Tribolium castaneum: one gene and its partner. The protein of the gene in region 2 purifies or fractionates together with the protein of the main gene of each other region. This does not show direct contact. Links are inferred from orthologs where the notes say so. Each region holds a gene or a part of one and is shown on either strand. Other genes may lie near its edges. The genes, in order: Dp and retinoblastoma-like protein 1.

The links.
Region 1: the proteins of retinoblastoma-like protein 1 (region 2) and Dp purify together in Drosophila melanogaster (affinity purification with western blotting; 4 studies listed by BioGRID, with this or other methods). This does not show direct contact. The link is inferred for Tribolium castaneum from reciprocal best matches to the Drosophila melanogaster genes Rbf and Dp.

What each region holds. Positions count from the first base shown.
Region 1 is NC_087398.1:7,912,021-7,915,451, reverse strand, and holds the end of Dp (transcription factor Dp-1), read right to left. Parts: intron 3,413-3,431; exon of another isoform or gene 3,265-3,412; intron 2,789-3,264; coding exon 2,716-2,788; intron 2,667-2,715; coding exon 2,596-2,666; intron 2,546-2,595; coding exon 2,376-2,545; intron 2,321-2,375; coding exon 2,155-2,320; intron 2,104-2,154; coding exon 1,745-2,103; intron 1,699-1,744; coding exon 1,616-1,698; intron 1,567-1,615; coding exon 1,483-1,566; intron 1,439-1,482; coding exon 1,227-1,438; 3' UTR 569-1,226; downstream 1-568. Other genes in the region: Myeov2 (uncharacterized protein LOC100302525), read left to right, coding at 1-18, 74-167, 220-292, 445-482. UniProt on the Drosophila melanogaster protein: Component of the DREAM complex, a multiprotein complex that can both act as a transcription activator or repressor depending on the context. In follicle cells, the complex plays a central role in the site-specific DNA replication at the chorion loci.
Region 2 is NC_087396.1:19,756,593-19,760,516, reverse strand, and holds the start of retinoblastoma-like protein 1, read right to left. Parts: upstream 2,719-3,924; 5' UTR 2,301-2,718; coding exon 2,166-2,300; intron 2,120-2,165; coding exon 1,986-2,119; intron 1,936-1,985; coding exon 1,720-1,935; intron 1,667-1,719; coding exon 1,188-1,666; intron 1,076-1,187; coding exon 1,022-1,075; intron 970-1,021; coding exon 932-969; intron 887-931; coding exon 717-886; intron 667-716; coding exon 477-666; intron 426-476; coding exon 222-425; intron 1-221. Other genes in the region: WD repeat-containing protein 64, read right to left, coding at 2,845-3,078, 3,129-3,285, 3,340-3,680, 3,739-3,924.

The DNA of each region.
Region 1 (3,431 bases), on a different chromosome or scaffold from region 2:
TTTTGTGTACGTTCGAAGGTAAGGTTATGTAGTTGATTAAATTATTTTCTCTTTTTTTTTCATAAATAAACAGATTTGAAGAAGGAATAGATAGTACAATGAAACCTGCAATTGTTGCGGATGAGATGTTTCCAGAAGGTGCAGGTCCATATATGGATCTAGAGGAGGTATTAGGATTCTTTGTGGCTCAGTTGGAAACACATTATTTTGTTATTTTAGGCTGGAGGTTCCAGTGGATTACTAATGGACCTTGCTGCGAACGAAAAAGCAGTCCACGCTGATTTTTTTAATGGTAAGAATATAGAGATCAAATGCTAAATGAATTGTTAGTCTTTCAAACTTTGTGCTGTTTCTGAAATCGGATTTTTGTATTTAAACATTGATACAACCTATGGGATTTTTCGGGCACTTTCAGAAAACACTCAGCTACGTTTTGTTTTTCAGATTTTGAGGACCTCTATGATGATGAAGACCTCAACTGAGCTTTGATTATGTTCTTTGGTTCTGACGTTGCTAACTTGGTCTAGATGTAAAATTTTGGGTTAATAGATGTGAAAGGAAAAGCGTATTAATTTAAATGATTTATTTTTTACAAACTGGAGTCTATTGTAAAGTCAAGAAAAACTTAGTTTTATAATTAACAACTAAAATTAAGTTTTATAAATAACAATAAAAAAGGAGTATATAAAAGATTTAATCTTATTATATACAAAAGAAACCTAAACAGCTTTCCGCTCCTGTACTTATTTACAAACCGTCAAAAGAATAAAGAATTACTCAACTTCGAAGCAATCTAAACTTTTAATCTTTTTTTGGAATACTCTAATCAAAAAATATTGGTCCACTACAAAAATCTGACCATTCCTTTTAAACACATTTAAATTACAAGCACTTGTTATCACAGGTGCAAATTTATTTGCAAACAAAGAGAAGAATTTATACAACATAAAGTATATTTTGTATATACATGTATTAAAGAAAATGTTGAAAAAAGTTAATCACTAAACTAATATTAATGTACAAAAACGTACCTGTATAATCGTTGGGTTGGACAAAAGCTACCCACATTGCCACAACCCCCGACAAACACTCCCGCCTTTTGTCCAACGCAATTAAAATCGACGAATAAAATTTAGTACTTAACAATAATGTACATAAAATAATGAAATACGATCGTCTCTTACTGCAATCACATGGACAGACATTGAGACACTGTAGAATAAACACTAGTTCAATTCAATGTCACTGGACATGTCCGAATCCCCCTCGTCGTCGCTGAAGTCGGGGGCACCTGGAGAGAGGGGATCGCTGGAGGACTGGTGCGAGTTCTCCTCGTCCAGAGTTGTCTCGACGAAGTCTTCAGTCAACATACTGCTTGTACCAGGGGCCTCCACGTCCAATAAAGCTTCAGTTTCGTCAGCAGCCCCAAACGCCAATTCTGAAAAACAAGGTGAGGTTTTATAACAAAAGGGACATACGTACGATCTACGTAGCTTTCGAGCGACTTTGGGACCATCTTTTTGATCCGTTCCAAATTTTCGGGGGTGCATTTCCCACTCTCGAGTCCTACAATCAACAATAAGACACGTTTCCCTCACGAAAAGTAGTAACATACCCATCAACATCCCAATTGATTTCAAGACTTCCACGTCGTCTTTAATCTCGAATTTGTCGTTGAATTTAAACACGTATTCTTTCCTGCAAAACACGCTTACTAATTGGATAATTAAACTAAGACACTTACTTGTCGTTTGAGATGCTGCAGTCGATCTCAGTCTTTTTATTTGTGCTTATGATAAGAAAAGGCAACTGAATGTATGAACTCGGGGCTGGTGGTCCGTTGATTTCTTCCATTTCTCTGTTCCTCTGAGCTAAGTTCTTAAACGAAATTTGGTTCAAAATCAATTCTTGCAACTGCTTCTTCTTCTCCCTGATCGAGGCGATTTTTTTAAGCTTCTCCCGCTCCAACTGCATGCACTCTTGGAGCGAATTTGTCGGTAACCCAATCCACCTGATTTCTTTCTTTTCTTTGGAAATTATGTTCATGGCCATTAGTACGTTTAAGGCATCGTAAACTCTTCGTCTGATATTTTTTTGGTCATACTGCAAAATTCTCGTTACAACACAACTCTGGTTTCCAACTATGACTAGTACCTGATCCGCCAATGAGTTATTGCTGGATGCGCTCGTGAATTCCCCTACTAACTCATCTGCCACTTCATTGTACGTCGTTTTGCCTTTTTTCCTCACCTTTTCGCAAACTTTCATCGAGAAGTGGCGCAGGCCTTTGCCGACCTTTTCCGACTTTCTGCTTCGTTTTCTAACACAAAGCATAAAGAGAAAAAAATAATAAAAAAAAAAAACAGTAAACTTACGAATCGTGTACGAAATCTAGCTCAATCGGATCGGCCCTTTTTCTTTGCAGAATCGGCGGCGAATTGTTCTTGTTTTGGACTGTGTGTGTTTGTTGTACAATTGGTATTGCCGTTGCATTTTGGCTAAGTTGCAGTTTCTGGTTATTTTGCGTAACAAATTTTATACTTTGCTAAAAATATCAACTTGTTACAAATGCTCGCAAGACATTTAACTCTCTACCATTTGAGTCGGCGTTAAACGAAATGTTTTCGTTCCTTTCGGGATTCCACTGACCTGAAGCGTGCTACCTTCTAAAAAATTTAATAAAAATCGGTGAACCGCAAACTCTAATTAGCTTACTTGTTGTTACGAATTTTGGAGTCGTTGCTATTGTTCTTATGATTTGTTGCGACGAACCTGTAGTGCCATACACCTACAGGGAGAAGCAGTGTTTTAAACGTGTACATATTTTAATGGATAAACAATTAGGTGATGAAAGTGGGCGTCGATGTAGGAGGGTATAATAACAAAGCGATAATTGCAAGGAAGAGTGTGACGTTGGATTAAATTAAAAATATTGTAAACTGGATTAAAGGTGTGACAATCATCACGCGATCGTGTCCTTGGGAAGCCACAAATGACTTCTTCGAATTTTTTTGACACGATCTCTATCAGGATATTTTGTTGCTATTTCAACACAAAACCAATCAAATACCTAAAGCCTTATTTATAATTTCGCTCCGGTTTGTGGCAATTTGTGTTGTGGTGAGATTAAATACAACACATTTGTTATCTACATTAATCGTGGGTTGGCTTTATCTGTAAAAGCTTGAAAGCAATCAAGAAAATATTGCCAGTCTATCCACGAAAATACTTATTTACACTTTATGCGTTCGGCTTAAAAACAGACATGAACACTGTTATCTAGGGTTTTTTATACCTAGGAAAACCTTATCTGTTATCAAAGTCGTAAATTTATTGCTACCGAATTAGGATGAAAGGTGCAACAATGATCTTACTTAAAATAGCATATAAACAAGCGTAAATGTAAAAAAAAGTAAGTCCAAAGTTAAATT
Region 2 (3,924 bases):
TAGTTTCTAGCGCAAACACGTGTTTAAATGGCGAAAAATTACACTATTTTTGAACTAATTTCATAATTTCCGCTTTTTTTTAATTTGACGAACTAATTTTATTTAGAGGTGGAGAGTATATTGAAACATATTTTGGTCTATTTTTGAGAAAATTTTATGATTTTTTGCACAGTTTCACGAAATCTCAAATCAAAAAAACATCCCGACTGTAATGTTCTTACCATATTAAGGTGTTTGATAGTGTCCCTTGAAAGCTTATCTCTTGAGCGAATGATAAGTTCAATCACTTTAACAAAATTATATGGTTGTATTTGCAGTGCTTTCAATATCCAGGGGAACCTTTGCCGACTATTGTATGAATAAATAACAATTTCTAAACAACAAGCAAACATACATTCGTAAAATACGTCTTTTTCCACAATGGCCTAAAAAAACAATAAAAATACTACAGAACAAATAATAATTAAAAAACATACCGATAAATCAGCATGTATTGAGCGCTCATTCTGCAGAATACTTTCAATAAATTTATAAAACAAAGTTGTCGCGAGCTGCAGTCGCCTTTGTGCTACTTCTCTTTGGTCAACTGGGTGGCCTTCCAGAAACCTCTCCCCCAAATTTGTAACAATTTGATTGATTCTCTCAGTTGGATTGCGAGCACAAGACCTTAAAACATCATCATAGACACGTTCAACCACTCTGGGCGTCATAATTACTCAAACAATTGCACTAAAGCCTCACTGGGGGCCGGCTGGCGCCCATGAAGCAAGTTATTAAGCCTTGAAATGCTTTCAGTAGCTGTCACAAGCGGAGTCGACTCTTGCGACTCCTTCGGGCCCAAATATTTGCGGCCAGTGAGCGGCGTCAAACACTCTTTACTAACAACCTATTAACAAACGTAAAAAAAATACCACACACAAAAATAAAATACCATTTCTTTGGTCGATAACTCCGGACTTGCGTTGTCAGCTGAAATTGCAAAATTCAATTGTTTGATCATAGATTTCTCGATTCAAATTACCTGCATTTTGCGCCACACTCTGGTCTCTCACTAGAAGTTTTCTTTTGTACTCAGCTGGAATGAAACAGGTGTTAGGGCAAGGTCAGGAGCATCTGTTCAGGTAAGACAGTCAGCTGTTTGCGCAGCTGGCTCGCCATATGATTGGACTAGCTGTAAAATCACTCACCCAGGAAAATGCGCTCGTCAAAATCGCTCTTATTCAGGATATTTTTCTCGTACACGTTCCCAATGCTTTTGTAATTATGGTCAAACACCGAGGTGTCCAAGACATCGCCTTGGTCGTTCTCAATCAAGACGCCTTGGTCGAGATAATTCCGAATCGATTTTTTGAACTGGTACTCTTTTACGTACTTCAGGTCGGTGATTATGTTCGGACTGGGGCACAGTAAGCTGACGATGCAAGGGGCCTCCGAAGGGGGCACATAGCTGGGCTGGGCGAAGTCTTCAGGCAGGCCCGCAAAGTCGGGGTTTAGGAGATCCTTGCGGTCGGCTTGGAGCGCATGTTTGAACGCCCAGTCGCAAATGGCAATAAGTAAATGACACGACGTGACCAAGTCGTTGTTATAATTCGTGTCTTCACTTTTTATTGTGATAAACAAGGTCCAACAAAACTCGAAGACTTTGAGTGGGGACGAAGGCACAGGTCTAAAATATACAATTTCGTAGTTGAAATAAATTGGTTTAGAGAGACTTCTTACTTATTTTTCCGGTTTCTGTGTTTACTTGTGTCCAGTTCGTGCGCTTCTGGAGCTTTAGGTGCCTTAAATATTTGCATAAAGAGAGGCTGGTATTCTTTAAAAACGTTGTAAGCCACAGAGAAGCTCCCTTCCAGATACTCAATCCGCTTTTTGAACTCCTCAGGCATGCTGGCCATGTCCGACCATTGTTTGATTTTGTAAAAGAACTGTGCTATGCTGTAACCATGCGTTAAAAATAACCCAAAGACTGTTTGTTGTTGGCTGACCTTAAGTTACAATGACGCAGAAGATTGGTCAAGTTAACACAATTCGTGTGAACACTATTTTGTGCAGCCGTTGCAGCGATGGACTTCCAACACGACACGTATATTGCACACCCTATCCAGTGGAGGGGCTCCCCCTGAAAATCCCGATAGTTTGCAGTGATTTAAGGGGTTGAGACTCACCTCCAGAGTGAAATTCTTGTTAATTGTCTCAAATCGCTCCCAAGCGTCTCTGGAAATCTGTTGGCTCAGGTGCAGTTTGTTGCACAGTTCTGAGTGTTTCTCCTCCAATTCTTCGGTTTCGCTTGATAACACCATGATTTCCAACAATTACAAACCGCTGCTAAACAATTTCGCACCACTAGCCACCATTGAGCTCTTGACAACGCCTACAAAAGGCGGGAATCCACACAAGAGACGACTAAAAAACAACACAATCACGCTCAAACCCCGACTTTCCCGCTTTGCACATTATTTTCGACGAGGAAATGCCGCTAAAATCCAAAATATTTCGGCGTTTACGCGCGAATACGTACACAGTTTTTTGTCGATCAGCCAGAACTACTTTTGACTGCGCATGGAGGGTAACCTCAAACCCAAATTTGGAAAGTTACCAGTAACTTTATAATCGAAGCACTTTGCAAGTTTTTAGCCACACTTTAATTAATTAGGACACTATGTGCCAATACAGCTGCTGTGGGCACGAAAAGGGGAGAGAAATGGGCTTTCCCGCCAATTCTTAGCGCCAAACACAAACACCGTTTAGGGAAGTTTCGCATTAGTGGAAGCTTCACCTGCTGGCTTGGGGACGCGCGCAAGATGAATTTTAATTTTTATTACAAAAATTTTTATTACAGTGATACTAGTCAAATTCAATAACACTGCTTCGTGAGGACCGTGGCGAGCGGCTGGAGGAGGGTTCCGAAAATACCAAGTCCTTGTAACTGGCGTCTTGTAAAACTTTCTCGATTTTTTCCACAATATTTTTCGTTTTCTTTTTGTCAGGGACGGGCAAGTTTGGTGTTAGGTATAGGTCGCTCACTTCGGGTAGCTCCAGGGCTAAATAGGGAGCACCGCGTGCAACGTTTTCTCGCATCTAAATATTATTTGTTGACATAAATAAAATCAATTCATTGCTATACATGCCTGCACTTTTTTTCGCTCTAATGTCGCAATTTTGAAATTGATATCGCTCTTACTTGAGCCATCATTTGCAAACAGGTCTTTTTTTAGAATAAATTCCAACTCTTTTATTTTTTCTTTGAGAAATTTGTCATCAATTGCTTCTTCAAACTGTTCTTCTCTGTAATAGCGTTAACAATTTAATAAAAAACGAGGTTTAGAAAAAAAATCATACTTATTTATTGTTTCGGGACTATCAGACGTTCTCCACATTTTTGGAATCAAAACACTATTTTGTAGAGGAGGTGGAGGCAAAACTTGCGATTCAACAATTTTCTGTATTTCGTTGCTCTGATTTACTATTTTAATAACAGCGATGTGATTGCAACAAGTGATTAACAGTGGTGATCTTTCAAAAAGTTCGATCTCAATCTCATTAAAGGAAGTGCGTTTAGGGCCGGGATAAATGCATTCAATTCCCCATTCAATTAATTTTCCAAACACTTTAAAAGACGGGAAACTGATAGAAAAACTTTGAATGCACTTTTGTTTTTCCAAATCCCATAATTTAAACATCTACAACAATTATACAAAAATTAGTAAATAGAATTAAATGCAAAATAGAAAAATATACTGCATCAGCTGAACAACTAATAAGTAAATTTAGTTTATCCAATATTTTAACGTCCATAATCGGTGCTTGATGTCCTTTCAAAATTGCGATTGGTTTTGAGGTAATAATAGGGTTCCACAATCTCAGAACAGAATTTTCGCTTCCTGTGGCTAGTATCTTACGTATTCTGCTTAATGCAAAACAGTT